3 linked regions of the Mytilus edulis genome follow. The protein of the gene in region 1 purifies or fractionates together with the protein of each later gene. This does not show direct contact. Links are inferred from orthologs where the notes say so. Each region holds a gene or a part of one and is shown in the gene's direction. Other genes may lie near its edges. The genes, in order: serine/threonine-protein phosphatase 6 catalytic subunit, mitogen-activated protein kinase kinase kinase 7-like and TIP41-like protein.

Region 1 (8,713 bases):
GGGACACTACTACAATATATTGTAACACATGTTGTATTGCGCATTAAATAAGTTACAAATTAAAGAACAGTATAGCAAACAATTGAAGTGCATGTCCTTATTCAGCTCAGGACTGTGCTTTCGGAATTTATATATGACTTTAAAAAAATCAAACGAATTACTTCTGACAAACTGGAAAAAAAACAACATACACATAAAAGAAATAAAATAAGATGAAACAAAACATTAAATCAAACTTACGAGTAAATTAAATAACTGTCAAATTCTCTAACCTGACGACAATTTATATCGTATCGCTTTCTAAGATCGCTTGTGTGCTTGGCCTAGCTAGAATGTGTATTCAAAACGACAATATTTTCCCCTTCTTTTGTTGTAATAACATTTTGTAATTGTCTAATCGAAACTAAAACATGTGAAACACTTGCTGCTGTACGCAGAATATTCTAGAAGAGTTCTATCGAATGATCCAATACTAACAAGAAGTAACAAAGTTACTTTCGTTTCTACCTGCATATAGGAATGAGGTCATCGAAAGTTTTATCTCGATTTTGTAGTGCTTATATTTATTACAGTTCTCATATCTTCCCATGGTGATATTAAGAAAACAATTTATCACGATATATGTGAAACCTTCAGATTAATGTCATTTAACGTGTTAACATAAATATATTTAATATATCGACTTTTACTCGACAAAAAAATTCTACTTTCAACAATACGAATTTCGTTTACCATATAGTTACAGGTTAAACATTAGTTTATTCATACAATGTGGAAATCTCTGATGATAGAAAGTCAGAACTTACCCATTTTCGTGAATAAAAACAATTAAAGTCTGAGTAAATAGTGGCTGACTACACAGTTCCGGTGTTAAGAACCTGTATTTAATTTCCTTGTTGCTGTATGTTTACTAGTATACATATCTATAAATAAAACATTTCACATGAATGTGTTGATATTATCATGCTTTATTATCTGTAATTATATTATTCATAAATTTCATATTGAATTCAGGAATCCATATACAAAATTCCAGGAAATGTTAATCGATTTTGAATCAATTTTTCTTTGTAATATATAAAACTTTTTTTGCAAGTTCAAGAAGTTTGGGGTAATTGGTGTAATAATCTGGTCTAAAAATATGCTACATTTTGGCTAATGGCAATTTGACATTTTGGCTAAATTTTTATATGTAAATGTAAATTTTCATGTTAAGTATAATATATATATATCTTTTTTTTGTATATGCTAATATTCTATTAATTTGTAATAAATGGCATTCTATTTATAACATTTTCTTGTTTTATAAATGTACCAATAATCAGTTTGCCAAACAGTGTTTGTTTAAAATACGAATTCAAAGTCAGTATATGTAAATATATGTAAATGTGTATATTTGTTTTTATTTTTGCACAATTTTTTTATTGATCATTGCACTCATAAAATTGTTAACTTTAGACGTTTCATGGTACTTTTCTATTTGAGTGTGAATTCACATTATTATAAGACGTGTCACGGTTCTTTTCTATCCCAAATTCATGTATTTAGTTTTGATGTTATATATATATGTTGTATTTGTTATTCTCATCGGATTTTGTCTAATGCTTATAGCTCGTTTCTTTGTGTGCTACATTTTAATGTTGTGTCGTTGTTTTCCTGTTATAAGTAATGTGTTTCCCTCAGTTAGTTTGTAACCCGGATTTGTTTTTTTCTATGGATTTATGAGTTTTGAACAGCGGTATACTTCTGTTGCCTTTATCTAAATTAATAAGTGTCTGTTTGCGATGCGCCGACGAATAGTCATCAATGTGCTAATATTTCGTCGTACGGTGTAGAATAAGAAAAAGAATATTAAGAATAAGAATACGAATATTTGTTATTCCAATCAAGGGCCCATGCATGACATGACTTTTTTGTACACATAAAACAATACATCATGATTTTTTACAGATAGTATTGAAATGAAAAATTCAAAAGTTCAGATAGATGTTAATTATTATCTCCATTCTATAAAAATCACATACATTAATTCCAGACAGGACCAGAACCATAAAATTATTACAATAAGCATCACATTATTATTACATGCAGTAATTTACATTTCGTCTAACATCTAGACATGTAGCCTAGTAATATATATGTTCCTTAAATATTTAAGTATAGACAAATTTTCATATAAGTAAATAACCAAACAAATTTTGCCTCATTTGAGAGATGTGAAAAATAAGGACAAATACTGTTTATCTCCTTGAAAAATATCTCCCTATCATCTTTGTGTGCTGGACAACTAGTTATAAAATGTTGTTCATCTTCAACCCTTTACGTACGAAAAGGGTAAAATAAAGCACACATGTATAAACGATATTATATTTGAACTATTTATATTTGAAAAGTTTTATGCACGATATAGCATCACTGTCCTACCGTGAAATGAAACAATCAAGTGCAATTCATCTGAACTCATGATCAGTTACGTTAATTATTCTTGGGAGTTCTTAAAAACGGCCGCAGTCGTGTCATGATAAAAGGCATATTTATACTTCGTGATTATCTGCTATATAAATAGAATCATATGATTTAAAAAATGGAGTCAGGCCGTAACCGGCAGTAATAATTCAATTTTAACCACAAAAACAGTACGTACTAATGAAAAGATCGTTAAAAAGACGTTTTTACTAATTATTTATTTATTTATTTAATGTTTTATTTAAACAAAATTATTTAATGTTTTATTTAAACAAAATTATTTAATGTTTTATTTAAACAAAATTATTTAATGTTTTATTTAAACAAAATTATTTAATGTTTTATTTAAACAAAATTATTTAATGTTTTATTTAAACAAAATTATTTAATGTTTTATTTAAACAAAATTATTTTTATATTATTTTATTATATTTATTTTTATATTATTTTATTATATTTATTTTTATATTATTTTATTATATTTATTTTTATATTCTTTTCTTTTTTTATTTACTTATTCATCAATTTATTTATTCATTTATTTATTCAAATTTTTGCTCTATAAATTTTTATTAAATTTTACCTATTATTCTAAATTATGTCAATTACCACATGATAAAAATATATTATTTAATGCCCAAAAAGGCGCAAGCCAGGGCCGACCGTGCAAGGGCTGTATAGCCAGTCAAGGTCGTTAAAAACTTCTATTTGTTGTTCATCAATTATCATCTTGTTACCAAGCAATAACAGTTGTTATAAAAGACATCCAACAACAATAGACAATGGTGAACGTTTTTGGAAAGTAACTGATGCAAATGCATTAGGGGACGACCATTTGATATTCTAAAGGGGGGGGGGGGCTGTTTAGGATCGGTTACTTTTTTTGTAGACTAAGAAGACAGATTATTCCACCGTTGAAGCATGAATTAATTTTCATTAAAACAAGGGACTGATTTTTTATTTTCATAACTAATTTATATTATTTGAAAACACAAGTACACACCCGTGATATCGCGGGTCCGTGACTGACTTAAAGTATATAACTATGCCTAACCTTATTTTAGTAATTGGTATTGTCATCTGATAAAGTAATGTCGATTATAAGATACACAGTTTTTTTTTTTGCTTTCAAATCTTTCTGTTTGAACCCGTCGACCTGGAACTTATCAATTATTGGTAATATTAATTATTTGGAAAACAAAAGGTCCTGGCTATCCAGGAATGGAGTATTTTTTAATCAACAGCATTGTCCTCCTATAGATTAAAAATTACACCACTCCAGACCCTTTTGTTTTCCACATAACTAATATTGCCAATAATTAACAAGTTCCGGGTCGAATCCGATACCGATACCAATAGTATATTCACCTGTTAGCTATTACCTTATCTGTACGTTCCGCATTTGACAGGCGCACCACCAAACGGTGTATTTAGGATTTTGCTATATACACGGGTCATAATCAAAGGGCTGACACTACTAAATTCTATCATTGTCAAATTGTTCCCTATTGTAGTTTTATTCAGCAATCAGCAAGACTTTCTAAGATAACTAATATAGGACAAATTGAATGCTGTTGACCCGTGTATATAGCAAAATCCTAAATACACCGTTTGTTGGTGCGCCTGTCAAATGCGGAACGTACAGATAAGGTAATAGCTAACAGGTGAATATACTATTGGTATCGGTATCGGATTCGACCCGGAACTTGTTAATTTTTGGCAATATTAATTATGTGGAAAACAAAAGGGTCTGGAGTGGTGTAATTTTTAATCTACACCATTGTCCTATATTAGTTCTATATAGAGTTGAATTCTTTGATTTGTCGTTTTTACCCGATGACGGCTGACAAAATGGACCTCGTAATTTTAGTATTATAGATACAATTTTTAGCATAGGCACTTGTTTCTGTCAATATGGGGTTTACTATCCATACCCGTACGTAATTTTTCGTACGGGTATGGATAGTAAACCCCATATTGACAGAAACAATTGCCTGTGATTTTTAGATATAAAATAATACATGTATAGGCAAATCATTATAGCTGCAATTTAATCAGAATTCATTGCATCATCCTCTGTGGATATGAATCTTCTGTTTTTCAACTGCATATACATGTATTGCATAGAAACACAGTATTATTTAAATTTAAGCTGTAACTAGCCTCTTTTAAAATTATAACCAAACATTTATTCGTTTATCCTTCCCCATGGGTTATCGAAGCCAGATATTAAAACGCACCGTAATCTTTTATTTATTTTAACGTGTTCATTTATATGAGAAAATGGGTGCAATATTCGAGAAGAAAAGAAAAATGTAATTATAAAATAAACTTGAAAATGAAATAAAGTAATACTTATTGATATTTTAAAGATTTCAAATGATCAGAAAATAGGTCAAAGTAATTTTTCTTAACGAAAAGAATGAACAAGAAATATACACTTTAAAATAGAAATTCTGACTGGTTTAAAAATATCCTCATCGGGTACCAGAAACAGGGAAAACGACAAAATGTCTGACATTGAAAAGTGGATTGAAATAGCAAAAGATTGCAATTACTTGCCAGAGAATGACCTCAAAGTATGAAGCTTGAGAATTTTAACAATGTCAAACGATGCTTAATGTTAAAATGGGGAAAAAAGAACCCAAGACATGAATCGTCAGAGTTATTTTTAGAATTCTTTCTCAGTTTCTGTTGTGAAGTTGATATTATTTTATTTTTTAATCGTTTTTACAGTCGGTTTTTCATACTTACTTTCATCACATAACTGACAGATTAGCTCTAGCCATATACTCATATATTTAGAGTAATATTTAAGAATTGAATGCTCTTTTTATGCCCCACCTACGATAGTAGAGGGGCATTATGTTTTCTGGTCTGTGCGTCCGTCCGTCTGTCTGTCTGTCTATTCGTCCGTCCGTCTGTTTGTTCGTCCGTCCGTCTGTCCCGCTTCAGGTTAAAGTTTTTGGTCGAGGTAGTTTTTGATGAAGTTGAAGTCCAATCGACTTCAAACTTGGTACACATGTTCCCTATGATATGATCTTTCTAATTTTAATGCCAAATTAGAGATTTTACCCCAATTTCACGGTCCACTGAACATAGAAAATGATAGTGCGAGTGGGGCATTCGTGTACTGAGGACACATTCTTGTATGTAAATTTATTGGGGTGTAAAAGCGTTGACCGAAGTACATTTTGTATGAAGCGCGGAAGCATTTCATACTTAAAATGTGCGCACGGTCAACGCTTTTACAACCCTATAAAGTTACAAAAAAAAGCATTCAATACTTATAATCACATTTTTACCTATAGGATCATGAAAACACGCCTTTTATCAAGTTTTTATTTCATTTACCTGTGCACTTTATTGTGGGACCTCGTGTCATCATGGATGAGAAGTTTTATTGAGTGACACAACTGCTTAAGGAATAACACATGATGTGCAGTTAGCCAAATAGCAGAATAACGTATTGTAATGAAACATACATCTAATGTAATTATTGTAATATGCTTTTGTTTACAGAAATAATCTAATACACCTTATCATGCTTATCACTATTTAGAAATCTGTCCCGCTTCGCTTGAAGTTGAACTGTTGACAGCATACAACAATCACTTTTTTTTATTGTGGTTAGGTATCAGATATTTTCTATTATGTCTTTAAAATTTTATTGGAACTTTTGTGATGTCCACTGAACTACTGAACTATGTCATGTAATAAAAAAATTATTTGATTTATATATTGACTTTTTATAAATACTTTTTCAGCGATTATGTGACATGGTATGTGAGTTATTGCTTGAAGAATCCAATGTACAGCCTGTGTCATCCCCTGTCACTGTGTGTGGTGACATTCATGGACAGGTAAATATTTATCATAGATCCCTCAATTATAGAAGTGTTATGAAGTAGAGGAAAACTTCTTCTATAAGTTGATGAATTAATGCACACCCAAAATTGTGATTGATTGAACTAGACATGTTCAAAAACTTTCTTGATTAATCTGTCCTGACTAAAGTGAACACTTTCTGAAAAAGATGCCCTATATGTCCTACCTATGATTATTAGAAATTAAACTTTTTTTTATCTCAAAATAGAAGATTAATATACATGTACCATGTATATGGATGGCCAATAAAAGGCAATTAGGTAACACCTATATATATAGCTACTACATATTACATGTTAAATGATCAATGTTTAGGCCTTTATCATTACATGTCTTTGTGTGCTGAGATTCCAGGCCAGGTAAGTATTTTACTTTGTTTTTGTATATTGTTCAGTCCATTTCAACATACTCACAGAAGTTTTACCATGTATTGTATCACTTACAAAACTCTGAAATGCACCATTCTACTTTGATAAATTATGTCAACCAAGGAAATTTTTATCTTAGAAATTATGAAAGAATAAATTAATAAGACATAACCGTAGGAACTTGCAACAAGTTTTTCACAAAAATGAGTAGTTGTGAAACAATGTCATGAATGTGAAACAAGAACAAAAGATCTCTACTTTAGTTACCGTAGATCATGTCTTAAGAAACTTCAGAAACTTTGATAGCTTTGAACATATGCAAATGCCTAAACATCAAATAATATTTACACAGTGCAAAATTTAAAATTATTTTTTAATTTTCCTTCAGTTTTATGACCTGATAGAATTGTTCAAAACAGGAGGCCAAGCACCTGACACTAATTATATTTTTATGGTAAGTCACCAGACTACGTAACATAGCATTATAGATCTATTGATTATTGAGATTCTGTATTTAAAAAAAATGAATTACTTGCTAAATATGTAAGCATGAACATGTGGAATGGGATCCCATACCGATTGTTTGTCATGAATGAATGCACCATATATATATTTTGTTCTTTTCTATCCCATTTTGAAAAAGTTTTTAATAAAAATTTTAAAGAAATATTAGTACATGTATTTTATACCTCCACTCTAGATGTGGGGTCGATATTGCATTTACCTTGTCTGTCCATTCCTCCACTCTAGATGTGGGGTCGATATTGCATTTACCTTGTCTGTCCATTCCTCCAACAACACACAATAATTTCATATTTAATCAGCAACTTGACAGTGATGAGTTTTAAAATGTAATCATTTGTTTTTTATTCTTCAGATTAACTGATTCATTGAATTTTTCAATACCTTGAAATATGAACTTTAAAAATAATTGGTCCTCAAATATAACTGCACTGAATGACTTTATAGTTAGATATTTCAGACACTTATCATTGGCAGAATTGTTATAGTTCTTATATTTTGTATGATGTAAATATATATACATGATATAATGAGTTTTATATAATATGAACAGTGAACAGAAACTTTGATTTCATTCTAGGGTGATTTTGTAGACCGAGGATATTACAGTTTAGAAACTTTTACGTTACTGCTCACATTAAAGGCAAGGTAGGTCTGCTTGGTATGAACACTGTTGAAAGGTTGTCAGTCTTATTTTTAAAATATATGTCTTATATCTCGTTCACCTTGTACATTTGTTTGTCTAACAAATTTTTCACTAATACATGTACTTCTGAACAGAAGGGCTTCATGTTTAATCAGAAGTTTGATAGTGATAAGTTGTGTGCAAATCTACTTTCTGTTTTATAGGAATTGAAAACTAAACACTCATAGTTGTAAATATTGTAATAATTATAAAGAAAGGTAAAAAGAAATCTCTGTACATGTATAAAGGGAGAAATTGTATGGAAACCAGATGTTAGATGTTGATGACTGAAAAAATTAGATAAAAAAGTTATTTGATTTTATGAAAATATGTTGATGATTTTTATATTGAAGAAAATATGTATGTAAGAGATTGTCACTGAATTTTTGATGGTTTTCAAGTTTTATATTTGATCTAGGTCAACGTATTTCAATGTTTAGACAATAACTCTAAATATCAGCACAACTATGTTAAATTTGCAAATTTGATTCCAAATATAAAAAAATCTCACACCAGGACTAGAGTTCATGCATAATATATTCAAATTCAATTCCTTCTAAAAAAATGCACTATCATTATAGACATGACTTGATATTAAAAGAACTAAAAATGAATTTGAATGTTTTAGGTGGCCAGACAAAATGACCCTACTGAGAGGTAACCACGAAAGCAGACAGATAACACAGATATATGGATTCTATGGTAATGAAGAATTCGTTTTTGACCATCTTCCAAATGACAAACACAGAAATAGATATAAGAAGATGTGGTATGAGTGCCAATG
Region 2 (8,196 bases), on another chromosome or scaffold:
TGTTGCCCTACAGATATTACCACCATTGTATACTTTTGGCCGCTACACGAATATCTCGTTCTTCTTCCAGGTAAGGAACCGGATTCAATACTGAATGTTCATGGTTCCGCGCGAAAACTTTACGCAGTGTCGGGCAACACAGAAAGCTTTCTTTTGGCTATTTACAAATACATTTAAAACGTTCGCAAAAATATACAATTAAAATTATTTACAACTGGGTTTTCCTACTTCCTTTCAGAGCATGCCTTCAGGGCAGATCTGAATCCCTCAACGGTGTTGGTCGCTGTAACTGTTGTTGGTAGGTTGTTCCAGTCCCTGATTGTCCTCGGAAAGAAAGATTGGCCGTAAGTGTCTGTACTTGTTCTTTCTTGGAAGAAGCGGTTTTTACCTCTGGTCCGGTTATCATTCGGTGTCAAATATTGGTGACGGTCGATATTTATAAAATTATGCTGGATCTTAAATAGCATTCATAATCTATTTGTTTTCCTCCGTTCTTCTAGACTTTCCCATTTCAGATTTTTAACCATATTTGTGACACAGCCAGGTGTTCGGTCTGTGTAGTTGTTATTCACAAATCGTGCAGCTCTTTTCTGGACCTGTTCAATTGCCTTGATTTTATTTTGGGCGGTTGGGTCCCATATTGTGCTTGCGTATTCCACTGCAGGTCTTACCATGGATACATACTCAGCTGCCTTTACAGGTTTTGTACAGCCTTTGAGGTTTCTACGTATAAATCCCAACGTTCTGTTTCCTTTGCCTACTGTATTGTCTATGTGTTTATCCCATGTTAGGTTGTTGCTGATAGTTACTCCAAGATATTTGCTTGCTTCCTCTGTGTCTAGAGTATGACCGTGTAGCTGGTACGATGTTTGTATCACTGGTCTATTTTTTGGGGATATTCTGATGACAAGGCATTTTTTTTGGCATTAAAACTCATCTGCCATTTGTTTTCCCAGTCTTCCAATGCTGTTAAGTCCTTTTGAAGTAGTTCACTGTCAGCTTGGTTGGTGATGGTACGAAAGAGTAGGCTGTCATCCGCGAACAATTTGGTCTCTGATGTAGATGCTGTTTCTGGCATGTCGTTTATGTAGGCCAGGAACAGTAATGGACCAAGGACTGTGCCTTGGGGTACACCAGAGAGTACTGGTACTTGTGAGGAGACAGCACCCTCTAATATCACGCTCTGCTTTCTGTTATGTAGGAAGGAGCGAATCCATTTATTGGTTTTGGGGTTGACGCCATAGTATTCCAGCTTGTGTAGGAGGCGGTGATGTGGTACCTTGTCAAATGCTTTTGCAAAGTCTAGCAGGATGATGTCTACTTGGCCGCTGCTTTTTAATTTTGATGCAATGTCGTTGATGGTTACGATTAGTTGGGATTCGCGTGATCGTCTTTTGCGGAACCCGTGTTATGCATCAGTTAGTATTTTATTTTTGTCAAAGTGGTCCATGATGTTGCTGTGTACAATATGTTCTAAGACCTTACACGTGATTGAATTTAGAGATACTGGTCTGTAGTTAGATGCTAGGTGCCTTTCGTCTTTTTTAAAAAGTGGAACTACATTGGCATCTCTCCAATCTTGCGGGACTTCACCAGTGTTCAATGATGTTTGGTATAGGTCTGTGAGTATCGGAGCAAGTTGTTCTGCTGCTGCTTTCAGTATAAAGGCTGGTATTGAGTCGAGACCAGTAGCTTTATGCGGTTTCAGGTTTTTTAACAATTTGTGGACTCCGTTGGTACTAATTTTTATGTCCTTCATGGTGTAGTATGGACTTTTTCCTTTATCTGGAAAGTTATTTAGGTTTTCTTTGGTAAATACTGACTGGAATTGATCGAGGCGGATCGAGCCACATTTAAAAGGGGGTTCCCAACCCAGGAGAAAGGGGGATTCCAACAATATGTACATATTCAATGCATTGATCGTCAGTAATATCTGGTGGAAAATGATCTACTTTATAATTTATAAGCTGGTTCCAGATCTGCTTATTCTACAGATACATGTCTTATTCATTTGTTAGATCATATTAAAAATGAAACTGCTAAGGGTTTTTATACTGGAATGATAATGTTAGATTTACAAAAAGCCTTTGACACTGTCGACCATCTTATATTGTGCAACAAACTACAAAAAATGTAATAAATGGTTTGAATCATATTTATGTAATAGACAACAAAAAGTTAGTATAAATGGTACTGAATCTGATTTAAGATATATTACATGTGGAGTACCACAAGGGAGTATTTAAGAATCACTTTTATTCCTATATTATAATCTATATGTTAATGACATGTCTATAAGTATTAGTAAAGACTGCAAAATTTTACTATATGCAAATGATAGTACCATACTATACTCTCATAAAAACCCAGAAGTTATATCTGAGAAACTTGGTAAGGAACTTGAATCTTGTAGCAAATGGCTGATTGATAATAAATTATCACTTCATTTGGGGAAAACAGAAACTATTCTGTTTGGGTCAAAACGTAAATTATCTAAAATCCGTAACTTTGATGTTACTTGTAAAAATCACACAATTTCCTCGCAATATTGTGTGAAATATTTAGGCCTTAATATAGATAATTCTCTTTCTGGAGAAATTTTTTTAAATACTATTATTCAAAAGATAAATTCAAGATTGAAGTTCCTATACAGACAGGCAAAATGTTTATTTGAACAATCAAGAAAGACTTTAGTTACAGCTTTAATTCAATGTCATTTTGACTATAGGCCTGTTCTGCATGGTATGCTGGTGTCAGCAAAAAATATAAAGATAAGTTACAAGTATTACAAAACAAATGTGTTAGATTTATAAAAAAAAAAAACCACTGGATATAGTTCAAAAGTTGACCATAATGTATTGAATAGTATTGGTTATGTTAATATTGAAAATCGTGTTAAACAATTGAGATTAAACCATCATACATAATATTTATTACCATCATTGTCCTAATTATATTATTCAAATTTTATACAACGGTGAGAAATTTACATCATCATTTCACACGAAATAGTGCAACAATAATACAATAATAATTTATTAACGTCTCACCATCAATAATACAGTATACACATTTCACATTATAAAAGTAAACCTTTTTAAAATTATTAATGCCATAGGAATATAACTTCTGGGTTCCTCCAGTTAAAGACACATTTTATTTTAATGGCATACAATTAAGATTGGAATATGTTGCCAATTAATGTTAAAAAAAATAAAGAAAATAAAGAAATTCAAAATTAGCGTCAAAGAGCACTTGGCCAAAAGTTATAGTGCGGCGTCATCAGACTCCTTTTTATATTGTTAATCATATTTTTATATAAATTATTTTTATAAGAATTTTTATGTCATATTGATTTCTGTGTTATCTTTTTTGTATGTCGAAACTATAAGCCGTTTCCATGAAGGGACCCCATTGGAAACAAGCTTTAGAGTTTTCATGGCCGTTATCCCTGATAAAATACAGTCAGCAAATTTTTCATACACTTAAGGATACTGCACTCAAAATAATGCCAATATATTTTACCATATATGTGTTAGTATTGTCTTTATGTATCGTATATATTGTGTATTGTAATCATCATCATCATCATCATCATCATCATCATCATCATCATCATCATCATCATCATCATCATCATCATCATCATCATCATCATCATCATCATCATCATCATCATCATCATCATCATCATCATCATCATCATCATCATCATCATCATCATCATCATCATCATCATCATCATCATCATCATCATCATCATCATCATCATCATCATCATCATCATCATCATCATCATCATCATCATCATCATCATCATCATCATCATCATCATCATCATCATCATCATCATCATTTTAATGATTATGATTATTATTATTATTATTATTATTATAGACAATACCATCCAGAAAATTCACTCAGATCAGTACTTCCACAGATGCCTACAATTACAGCTACAAACTACGCACCATCACTGACTGGAACAGCCTGATTCTTGAAACCTTCCAAGCTAGTCTCTGGAAAGCTTCAAGGAGCAACTTCGGAGACTGCAGCTGTAAACAGAAACCACCTGTTTTTATCGAATTTTAATTGCAATTGTAAATACTGAGCACGCAGGTTGACGTTTGCACAGCAGTATCTGCGTTATGGATGTCCACTGCAGATCAATAGTATAGATTTAGATGTAGATGTAGATGCAATGCGTGTCAAATTCTCTTCACTGCACCGTCCAAACGACGTTAACTTTTCAATTAGTTGATTATAATTTAATTCCAATTACATTTGAGAGAGTGTCCAAACTTAAGTTTAAATCGAATTAATGTTAATTAACCGTTGGCAAGGCCGAACTGACACCATGGCCGAAACGTCTATTTTCATGTACGCATATACTAGTAAGTAGTCATTAACTAACAAATATGCATGTGCTGATTTGTGTCACGCCATATCCTTTACGTTTCTTTTATAAAGACTTGTTTCGTTGACGTTTGACAAAATCTTTAATCCTGAAACACCAATATCACTTTAATTAACATGAACATGAACATGCGATTGTCGTATTCACAATCGCGCTTGTTCGGTAACTTCCGGATGATTCCGGAATTATGGTTTAGGTTGATATCGACTGCATAACATGAACACATCAGTGTAACATGATTTGCTCTAATTCCAAAACGAGTCTCCCAAGTTCCTCCACTTTCAGTTCGACCAAAATATGGGCAGGGATTTTTTAAAACCTATTTCATGGAAAAGACGAACGTAGATTTATGAGTATTTAACTTAAAATGGAACCCACTTTTGTGGAGGAGATAGACTTTCGAGAACTACAATTCTACGAGGTTATGCTTCTTGTATATTTGTTTATATATGTTAGTCTGTCAAACCCTGTCCATGTTTTGATTTTCATAATCATATTCTCCATTGTATTATTATAGCTTAGAGTAGACATAAAGTTATGAAAGATACGATTACATTATGTTTGTGCATTGTCAACCACTATGAGTAGTAATCAGGTGGACAAAAACCTTTTAGATTATATGATAATTCTACAGTACAGCTCTAAAAAATTGACAATTCGGCCGCTGCTTCAACTTCCAAATTCAAGATGTGTCCGCCAGTACAGCCAAACTGTCAGTTAGGCCGTAACATGTGTGTTTATTTTTTTTTAAAATGAGTACAAAAAGTTACTGTTTCATTAATCTTTGACATGTATGGTTAAACAGACACATTGCACTCATTTTCGTATCGATTCAAAATACAGCAATGTCATCAATTATCGATACTTTTAGATTTTACAAATTCCATTTATACTGATTTAAATCTGTCACCAAATCTCCTAAGGCAGCAACCATTTGATTTTCTGGGGGGGGGGGGGGGGGGCTACAGATTTTTTTTCTGGACAAACTTTCTTCTTCGCCTGTGGCGAAAAACTAAACAATATATTTTTCTCGCGACAAGTCGAAAACAATTTTTTCTTTCAATTTTAGCATTACATATAGTGGCAGCTAAGGGGGAAACTAAACATTTTTTTTCTCTCAGAATCAAAAACAAATTGTTTTTTTCTCCAAAAACTGGAAACAAACTTTTTTTTCCAAAAAAATCCATAGCCCCCCCCCCCCCCCCCCAGTTGCTGCCTAAGGCAGTATAGATTATTCAATATTTTATTATGTGGGCCGGATCGACTTTGGGCCGGATTAGTTTGGAGACAGAACGACCGGATACCCATTATCTAAAGAAATGAAATTTATAAATTTGTAAACCAATAAATTCAGCTGGTAGTTGCTAAATTTACCACTTGTCATGCTTGAGAAAGAGTTTTTGGCTTTCCTTCATGAATCATTATTATTCTTATCATCTAAAAATTCTTTATATTAAACTCTTTTTATATTTCTGTTAATGTTATGTCATAAATAAATTTGTGTTTCCATGATATTGATTGAATTTACTTGGTTTTGTGTGGTTTATTTTGTTACATTTGATCATGACATATATCATGTATATATATTTGTACATATGTAAATGTATCTTACTTTACTATAGCTTACATGTACATATGAAATATTGACCAAAAAACAAAATTGTTCTTGTGGGAAGATGGATCAAATTTTTAGTCCTCAACTTTTTTTCATTTATGCCAATAAATAACTTACTTTTTAAATTTTTAAATTTGAAAAAAATATTTGTACATGTACAACATATACTTATATATCATTTACACCAGAATGTCTAATCTCAAACAACTGTCCATTGTTTAAAAGTTGCAGTTTAAAAATTTAGTACAAAATCATTGAGTTTGATACATTGTACAATGAAGATGTAATGTTGGAAATATATACTGTATTGTTGTTGATAGATAGAATGACAATCATTTATTTAAAATAATATTGTTTTAATTTTTTTTGCAGGTTGTAGGGAAAGGAGCATTTGGAGTTGTCAGTAGAGCAAAATGGAGATCAAAAGATGTTGCAGTAAAACTAATAGAAACCGAATCCGAGAGGAAAGCTTTTATGACAGAGTTAAAGCAGCTGTCAAGAGTTAATCATCCTAACATAGTCAAACTGTATGGTGCTTGTACTAAACCACCAACAGTAAGTACATTGTATATGGTTTAAATATGATCATGATGATAATGCATGTTTGTGGTACACCTGATCGTGCTGATATTTACAGTCTGCACAGTTAGCCACTAGTCCGATGACCCAGACTGGTAAAATTTCATTCAGACTAGTAAGTTTTTGCAAAACTTTGTTTGGACTAATAAGAAAAATGTCAGAATATTGGTCTTCGAACTAGTAGTTGAAAAAGTTTTTGGTGCAGACTGTATTTAAAAGAAATATTTCCAAGTTGAAACTTTGAAAGAATAAAAAACTTCAAACTAAAAAAGTTAAAAAAGATGTGTTTGGTTGTAGACATAGGTAAGAGATGAAAATCTGAAAATATTTCGCATCAGATATAAAGTCATCTTTTTCACACATATTTTCTGCATGTATTTATTAATAAAGGGAAGCATGTATTATAAAAAATAAGATGCTGTGTGATTACCAATGATACAACTGTCCATCCAAGTCACAATGTATAAAAAAATTAACAATTATAGGTCAAAGTATGGCCTTCAACACAGTCACAGAGCCTTGGCTTAACTGGAACAGCAAACTATAAAAGGCCCCAAATGACTAGTGTAAATCAATTCAAACAGGCAACACCAAATCTCTAATCAATATAAAAGACTAGAAACAAGAAACACCTATGAACCACACCAATAAACAACAACCACTGAACAACAGGCTCCTGACTTAGAACAGGTGTTTAAAAAATACAGTAGGTTTAAACAGGCACCAACCTTCACCCTAACCTTAGACCATGGTGTTACATTACAACATAAACAGACAAAGAAAATATATTAATATATATATATATATATATTAGATATTTTATTATACATGTACAAAGATTGCATGTTATTTTAGGTATGTCTTGTAATGGAGTATGCTGAAGGTGGCTCACTGTATAATGGTAGGTACTATAAACAACAGAGGTGTGTCAATCTTATTGAAGTACAGATGCTGTGTCCACATTTTGCTTACAAGTTTCAGACAATGTACATGTTCTGTCTTACATTCTGTTTTGAAGACATTTCCAGATCCTCTGGTTTTGATGAAATGAAACACTTCTTAAAAATCTCCTGGACAGGCACTTTCAAGATGAGCTGCAAAATGTGTCTTGAGTTATCTTTTCTAAATGAAACAGCTGCTTCTTCAATAGAACAAAAAGAACATTTGATTTATTACATAATTGCTCGAAAAAGGTTATAAGTTTTAAAATGGAAAGTCAATTTCATTGTAAAATAAAAAAAGAAAAATGTCTAAGCTAACAAAAACTTGACGAAACCCAAAAAATAGAATTTAGCCTTGAAAAAACAGTGATAAAATCTGATTCTCCTGAACAGCTAGCGATTCTTGTTCAATCACAACCAATTGCAATGTTCAAAGAAAAATATGATTATTAATAATTGCTGATAATATAAACATGATAAAAATAAGATGTTGTATAATTTCCAATGCGACAATTCTCCACAAGAGTCAAAAGGGATCATAAATATAACCAAATGGTACAAAATGTAGATTTCTATTGTCGCATTGCATAATTTTAAGAAATTTTCTACTCCTCTGAATTTCTGAATTCATTGGAATAATTACA
Region 3 (8,348 bases), on another chromosome or scaffold:
CAAAATGACACAGACATTATAACAACTATAGGTCACCGTACGGCCTTCAACAATGAGCAAAGTCCATACCGAATAGTCGACTATAAAATTAAGGCCCCGATAAGATAATTTAAAACAATTCAAACGAGAAATCTAACGGCCTTACTTATATAAAGAAATGACGGACGAAAAACAAATATGTAACACATAACTGACAAACGACAACCACTGAATTACAGGCTCCTGACTTGGGACAGGCACATACATAAATAATGTGGCGGGGTTAAACATGTTAGCGGGATCCCAACCCTCCCCCTAACCTGGGACAGTGATATAACAGTACAACATAAGAACGAACTATAAACATCAGTTGTTATACTTGTTATACCATCAAACACATTATCAAGGCACTGTGAGAACTATCAATGTTGACCAAGTTTGTTTCCGCTAACTCTGTTACAATTCTAGCGGGAATTTTGTATGTGCTTAATTAAAGTAAGTCATGCTGTAAACAATGCGTGGCAGTTTTAGACAGATAAAATCAGGACAAAGAATAAGTGGTCATCCAAAGTTCTCTTTTTTAAAGCTCAGTCTTTTGCCTTAAAAGGTGCTGTTTGACACTCAAAACCAATCGGCATTAATGCTTAAAACGTTAAGTAAAAAATAATGTACTCGGCTCTTATTGACATTTGATATGAATCGAATGCGCTCAGTCCCAATAAAAGGAGCACATTACTTCGAGCTGCCGTTTCCGTAAATCGGCCACAGTGCTCAACGTTGCGACACATGCATGAACATATATAATCAACGGAAATTAAAAATAGATGATTTTTTATTTCATATCCGTGGCACATTTCTTTGAAGAAGAAGACAAAACTAATGATCGTTCTCCAAGCTGAAGATCGAATTACATTTAAATATCATAACATTAAATCAAGTTGTATGTGCATCACCAAAATATGAACGAATTATAGAAGGTGTTGATAGGGTTTACAGAATAGAGAAAAAGGGTAAAACATAAAAGAAAAGAGAAAAATGGACCAAAACAAATAAGGAATAGAGACTCAGAATAATGAGGTGCTAAACTATAAAGAATAGATAATGATGGGCAAAACGTATTAAAAAATGGTATACAAAAGTAAATCACAAGTTACAAACACTGGCACAGCTTAATCTTATCAAGAATATATCTTGTTCAAATTGACAGTAATTTCGACTGAGATGAAAACTTTGTCTTATGAATATTGTAATTACAGTGAGTTGACTGTTAGTGTTGCTCTCCACCAATTGCAACTCATTCAAAATTTTGACCCAATTGCAATATGTTTTATTAAACCAAATTGTTCAACTGGTCAGAATATTGAACAAATTGTTCATTCAATATGTGATAGTGCAAAGAGATAAAATAAAATATACTTACAATCCTATAACTCCATGCACTTTAATGATGTTGCGACAAAATTTGTTTATCAGTTTGTAGAGTTATATTATAGTCATTTCCATGCTGAAGAGGAACTGTTTATTTTGAACTGCATGCTATAAAATTGTCCAAACTAAGCTTTCATGTAGTTTTTCTTTCTAAAAGTATTCTATATTTATAAGAATCAGATATCATTTTAAATAAAACATCATATATTCAGTAAAATATGTGTGAAATAACAATATGCTATTGATAAGTTTTCAGGGGAGATAACCTAAATATTATTCTTTTGAATAAAGCCTTTTTGAAAGAAAAGTTATTATCTCCCCCATGGAAACTTCCTACAAACATATATTGCAATTTTACACATATTTTACTGAATATGAAAATTTTTAATTCACATAATGTCTGATTCTTATAAATATAGAATACTTTTAGAAAGAAAAACTATATGAAAGCTTAGTTTGGACAATTTAATAGCAATTCAAAATAAAAAGTTCGGAACTTCCCCTTCAGCATGGAAATGACTTTAATATAACTCTACAAACTGATGTTCATATGATGAAATCATAATCTTTCAGTCAGTTTAATTGAAGTCTGGAGCTGGCATGTCAGTTAACTGCTAGTAGTCTGACTTTATTTATGTATTATTGTCATTTTGTTTATTTTCTTAAGTTACATCTTCTGACATCAGACTCGGACTTCTCTTGAACTGAATTTTAATGTGCGTATTGTTATGCGTTTACTTTTCTACATTGGTTAGAGGTATAGTGCGAGGTTGAGATCTCACAAACATGTTTAACCCCGCCGCATTTTTGCGCCTGTCCCAAGTCAGGAGCCTCTGGCCTTTGTTAGTCTTGTATTATTTTAATTTTAGTTTCTTGTGTACAATTTGGAAATTAGTATGGCGTTCATTATCACTGGACTAGTATATATTTGTTTAGGTGCCAGCTGAAGGACGCCTCCGGGTGCGGGAATTTCTCGCTACATTGAAGACCTGTTGGTGACCCTCTGCTGTTGTTTTTTATTTGGTCGGGTTGTTGTCTCTTTGACACATTCCCCATTTCCATTCTCAATTTTATGATAAACTAATTCTGTCACAACATCATTAAAGTGGAGTTAAAGTCTTATAGGATTGTAAGTATGTTTTATTTTATCACCTTGCACTTTCATGACTTGGCTGTGGTTTTCTACAGCAATTGGTTCAAATTTCTGACCAGTTGAACAATTTGATTTTATAAAACAAATTGCAATTTGGTCAAAATTTTGAATGAGTTGCAATTGGTGGAGAGCAACACTAACAGTCAACTCACTGTAATGACATTGTGGTTAATATAATGTAATGTTATGCGACTGTCATAAAAGTGAGAGGTTTAGCTAGCTGTAAATCCAGGTTTAATGCATACTTTTTTACATAAGGAAATGTCTGTACAAAGTCAGGAATATATGACAGTTGATTTCCATTCGTTAGATGTGTTTTGGGCTTTTTGGTTTTCCCATTTGATATGGGATTTTCCGTTTTGAATTTTCCTTGGAGTTCGGAATTATTTTTTTATTTGGCTTTTTCCAACCGTGAATTATTCAGGTTGACACTGGAAAGTGGCAGTATACATATGTATATGGAAAGCTAAGATGAATACAATTTGTTTGGGTTTTGCCGTTATTTACTTAAACCTAGTCCCCAATTAAAGAGAGGTGGAAGATATCAAAGACTGATATTCAAACTCATATATCGATGACAAACTGACAACTCCATGGCAAAAAAAAAGGATCAACAACAATCAAAATACAAACAACAGTATTCAAAATACACAGCAATACTAGAAAAGACTGGGCAACACGATCCCCACTCAAAATCATTGGTGATCTCAGTTACTGTAAGTATATACTGTAAAAAGACAAGAACAACTCTCCATCAAAGCCTAGTCACAATTTGTAAACAGTTAACTGTTATGGTCCAAGTATGGCCTTCAACACGAAGCTGTGGCTCACACCAAACAGCAAGCTATAAAGGGTCCCATCCCAAAATGACTAGTGTAAAACAATTCAAGAAGGAAAACCAGCAGTCTAATCTTTATAAAAAAAATACTTGTGAACCACAACAACAAACGACAACCAATGAACAACAGATTCCTGACTTAGGACAGGTGCAAACAAATGCAGCGGGTTTAAATGTTTTAATGGTACCAAAACTTCACCCTTATTTTAAACAATAGTGTAACATCACAACATAGAAAGACTCACTATAGAATATCAATTGAAATGGCTTAACGCAATCAAAAAGCATATTAACAAAAACAGTTACATGTGAACATACACTGAACGGACAATGTATAATACAAAATCAATAAAATAGAAAAATACTGGTCCAAATATTTTTGACTTCTAGGAAGGCTATTTTAAATCATTGCTTTGACGCCTTCCAGGGACGTGTCAAAGAAAATAATATAATAGGCTTTCAAGACGTCATAATTATTTGGACTAGAAAAATACCACACTCCCTCCTGCCCTTTGAAATTCATAATCATTCCCTAAGCATTTTCCCTCTGAACTTTTTATTATTTTTTACTTTAGACAAAAATTATATATATACATTCGTCCTGAACATGCATGAAATATTTGCAACTGGACTTTTAGCAACCAATAAACAATCAGTGAGGCCCCTCATGGGGGGGTCCTAGTAATCACATAATCACCATTTTTTTGCCAATATAATCACATAATCATTAAATATTTGCTTATCTTTAGTAATCAAATAATCATAAACTAAAAATACAGTCCTAGGTAATCAAATAATCATGAAATATTTGGCTTAATAATCAAATAATCTTTAAAAAAACGGCCAAGTAATCACATAATCAAAAACCCCATGAGGGCCCTCATCAGTTTTTTGGAAATAGTGTTGGTATCAAAGCTGGCATTTAAGGTAGCGCCTTCTTTATATTACATAATCAATAAAATAAGGGGTGAGATGTTAAACAAGAAAGATAACCATAATATTGGACTACATGCCACTAAATAAAATAACGTATACTCGTAAATAAAATTATATATTTTGTTGTAACTTGAGTCATGGAGTACTGACTTGAATATTTTTACAATTTAAGTCTTTTTTAATTTTGTAATCCGCTACAATTTAAACAAGGCATTCTGAATGAATCAATCTACAAAGTGAAAACACTTCCCAACTTTCATGATATTCCTTAAGCAAAGAGACGGCTAGTTTTTTTAGAAAAGCTACTACTTGTTTAAATTACAGGCAATTCGTTTTGCACATTATTCCGCAAAAGATGTCGCAAAACTCTTGTTAACTTTTTTTATTCCTTTATATCTAGTATTAATTGATATGAATATGAAATTTTAAAATTCTGATCGAATTAATATTATTAATCTGGTATACTACAGTGATGGAACTTAAACTTAAACAATAAAAACAAAACGACATTTACAGAAACCAGTTTATGGCAAACATGTAAAAAAAGTTATTTTTTTGATGATCAGGTACACACTGTCATACAATCTTGACAAATTCATGTCAAGAATCTTAAGTTTATTTAAACACTGCCATATTTTTTTGTCAAAGTGTGTTGGTGATATTGATAAAAATGAATATCAGCTTCTCTGGGTCGAAAGCTCAACCATATATATCACAAAAATGACAAGGTTTTAAAAAAAAAAAAAAAAAGACTTCTTTTTAAATTTTATAGCAATACACTTATTAAAGCATGATTGAAATTTTATTCAACACAAATCCTTTAAAAAAAGCTTTAAAAAAGGGTTTAAACCTACCCAGGGGTGTGAACCTGAAAGGTGGCGAACAAACATTTTATCACTATTTGGAATTTTGTCCTGCTGACCTGAGAATCTGTCCCGCTTGAACTTTTGACGTCATACAACAATCACTTTTCCATTGTGGCATCGGATATTTTCTATTATGACGTATAAAATTTACGGGAACTTTCATGACTTTATTGATATCCAGTAATGGCGGACAACTCGTGATAATGTGTATAGAACATGTGTAGAAACAGACGTGTCAGATTTGGGTCAAACAGACCCGGATTTCAGGCAAATAAATTTTAGCAGCAGCCTTGTGTTAGATCTTTTGTAGTGGTTTATGTGAAAGAAGATCTCCATTTTCCATAACATAAGATGAATATTTTGTTTTCTTATTTTGAAAAGCTAGGTTATAATTTTCTTAGATGCATATATTTTTCAGGATGATGGGAGGTGACAGTACTGCAGCTAAAGCTAGATCTGTTACAGAGAAATTCCAGTTTGGACCATGGCGTTGTACGTCTATAAAGTCACACATTCTGAAATCGGAAGGTCCAGATAGAGAGAGGTAATGTCTAATGATGAGAAGATGATTACAATTTACACAAACCTGCAGTACACACCAAAAAAGTTGAGCCATTCACTGTGAAAAGTTAACTCACCATAACATAGAATGTTTGAGCTGACATGACATTAAACAGCTCAATCAATCAGTGTGTAACAGGAGGAATGCTGCCAAATTTGGATTGATTATTGGTCTTCAACATCACTTTCTATCTTTGCCATTTTTTTTATTAGTGAGGAAGTCAGAGTACCCGAAGAGAACTACCAGACTTTGTCAGGAAAACTGACTATCCTAGTCAATTAAGATTGAAGACCAATGCATATTGTCATGAGCCTTAAAAGCTGAAAAAATTGTTATATTACACTCATATTGATTTTCCTGAGGTTGATATACTGTATTATTGGAAATTCAACTCGCAAACAAAAAAAACTACAAAAGTAATAGCAATTAGAAATTCACTTTTTAACATTTTGTACCTTAAAACAGTTGGAAGGAATTTTGTAAAATGAGCAACAAACAGATACCAACTGCTATCTATTTTATATTTTATTATTAAAATTAAGTAGACCAGGATACATGTATAAGTTAACAATAGAAAGGTTCAGATCAACACAATTTGATCAAGAGTTACTGCCCTTTAGTTGCCATGGTGGAGGACTAAGTCCTTCATAAATCAGCCAAATTCAACATGTCATACCGACTGCTAGACTGTTAAACAATTTTGATTTATTTTGGCCTTTCTTGATTCATATAAGATCCATCTTTTGTCAGACCTGTTTGTACTGCATATTTCAATTTGGATATTAAGTCAAATATAAAAATCATCTATATTGACCCCTTCAAAATGGCAAGAAAATTAACTCTATAACAAATTACATCAATTGAAAGGTAAAGTAAAGACTGAAAAGCGGGAAAGGGGGTTAAAAACCATTCTGATCCCAATTTGAAAAAAAAAATTGTGGTCATGCAGATGACAAACCAATACTTTATAGTGTTAAATTTTGAACCAAAATGATTTAATGGATAGCTTTGAAAAATAAAAAAAAAAGGCAATTCTGACTCAGACAAAAAAATAATGAAGTTAAATGGTTGCTCCAGTCCCTAACTCTATTCAATGTGTTCAAACTAACTCATTTATAGATTTAAATTTTGGGTGAATATCTTTAATGTCATTTTAGATTCGAGAGTCAATTGGAACTTCCACAGGTTCCTGAGATGGTGTTTGCTGATAACTTACTACGTTTAGAACATTCAGCAGGATTTGGTTTGGAGTTCAATGCTCTTGATGCTCTTAGATTGGTGGACCCTCGAAACGATTTACTCAAAGTGGCTGTATCTGATGCTTGGAGACAGGCTAGGTTTGTTATTGTTAAGTTTGTCTCTGCTTTGAGAGAAAAGTGGTTACTAGATCATCTTCATTTACAGGTTAACTGACCAATCACAGTTTCAATCAAAAAAACAAAACAAAACACAGAATTATCTGAAAAATAAAGATGAATGGCATAACAAGTTTGGTAAAGTTATACATTTGTTATAATCAAAGGTGATCATGTAATGTGAGATTTGATTGCTATGAGAAATGTCTGATTCAAAAGAGTTTTGGCAACTAATAATATTTTGTCCAGCAAATAAAGAATGCATTGGGTCATGGCATATTCTTGGGAATAAATTAGGTGTTTTTTTTTTCTTTCAAATTGCACTTATTTTAATATTGCTTCCATAATAGCTCTTACATGACCCAGTATCAAAAGGCCCAATTACAGAGTAGCTAACATATATGAAATTGTATATGTCGTGTACAAGTTGCAATTTTGTACAGGTTATAACATGTACAAAAATATTGTACATGTTATAATTTGTACAATGCTAAAATACAAGTTATAACATGCACAAAATGACCCCGTACATGTTATAACATGTACAAAATATAGCTTAAAAATGGTTTTAACCTGTACAAAACTTTAAAAATAATAATAAAGCAGAATATACATGCATTATTGAAATTTATTAAATAATAAAGAACAATAATCAAAAGCAAAAGAAGGTGCATTATTTACAGCATGCATAAAATACTACATTTTCATGCATTTTAGAAACATTAAATTTTTTACTTGTTGTTAAAAGACAGACACATGTGACACCTTGAGTTGCTCAAAACATTCATTCTTCTACAATTACACCTACCATAATTACAACTGCCTTTCTTACACTGATAATGCACAAAAACTTGCCCTCCTCTCAATAATAACTTGTGCACTATCTCTCTCACACTCATATCACTCATTGGGACTTCAGACACATTTAAAGTTGCATTTGCCAAAAAATGGACCTAGCTTCTCTTTATTTGTCCAACTTAAGTTCCAAATTTATAGCCGCCATATTCATTCACTTTAATCACCACGCCTTCAATGTTTCTCTCATCTACCGTATACAGGGCCCCTATACATTGTAAATGGACGGAATATAACGTTATCACTTTGGGAGAGCACAGTTATTCTAGTTTTTGAGTTTTTTTATAAGACACCAGCTTGTACCTGCTGTCCAGAAAGGGACCTCTTTCGTGCACGCTTGATGTCAATATTTGATATTTCAGATAAACCTTCACTA

The links.
Region 2: the proteins of serine/threonine-protein phosphatase 6 catalytic subunit (region 1) and mitogen-activated protein kinase kinase kinase 7-like purify together in Homo sapiens (affinity purification with western blotting; 3 studies listed by BioGRID and IntAct, with this or other methods). This does not show direct contact. The link is inferred for Mytilus edulis from reciprocal best matches to the Homo sapiens genes PPP6C and MAP3K7.
Region 3: the proteins of serine/threonine-protein phosphatase 6 catalytic subunit (region 1) and TIP41-like protein purify together in Homo sapiens (co-immunoprecipitation; 4 studies listed by BioGRID and IntAct, with this or other methods). This does not show direct contact. The link is inferred for Mytilus edulis from reciprocal best matches to the Homo sapiens genes PPP6C and TIPRL.

What each region holds. Positions count from the first base shown.
Region 1 is NC_092345.1:11,367,171-11,375,883, forward strand, and holds the start of serine/threonine-protein phosphatase 6 catalytic subunit, read left to right. Parts: upstream 1-4,916; 5' UTR 4,917-4,976; coding exon 4,977-5,045; intron 5,046-6,233; coding exon 6,234-6,329; intron 6,330-7,110; coding exon 7,111-7,176; intron 7,177-7,824; coding exon 7,825-7,892; intron 7,893-8,557; coding exon 8,558-8,631; intron 8,632-8,713.
Region 2 is NC_092353.1:40,922,808-40,931,003, forward strand, and holds the start of mitogen-activated protein kinase kinase kinase 7-like, read left to right. Parts: upstream 1-4,644; 5' UTR 4,645-4,784; coding exon 4,785-4,838; intron 4,839-6,404; coding exon 6,405-6,587; intron 6,588-7,466; coding exon 7,467-7,512; intron 7,513-8,196. UniProt on the Homo sapiens protein: Serine/threonine kinase which acts as an essential component of the MAP kinase signal transduction pathway. Plays an important role in the cascades of cellular responses evoked by changes in the environment.
Region 3 is NC_092353.1:75,586,179-75,594,526, reverse strand, and holds the start of TIP41-like protein, read left to right. Parts: upstream 1-4,923; 5' UTR 4,924-4,931; coding exon 4,932-4,981; intron 4,982-5,618; coding exon 5,619-5,744; intron 5,745-6,919; coding exon 6,920-7,099; intron 7,100-8,348. UniProt on the Homo sapiens protein: May be a allosteric regulator of serine/threonine-protein phosphatase 2A (PP2A). Isoform 1 inhibits catalytic activity of the PP2A(D) core complex in vitro. The PP2A(C):TIPRL complex does not show phosphatase activity.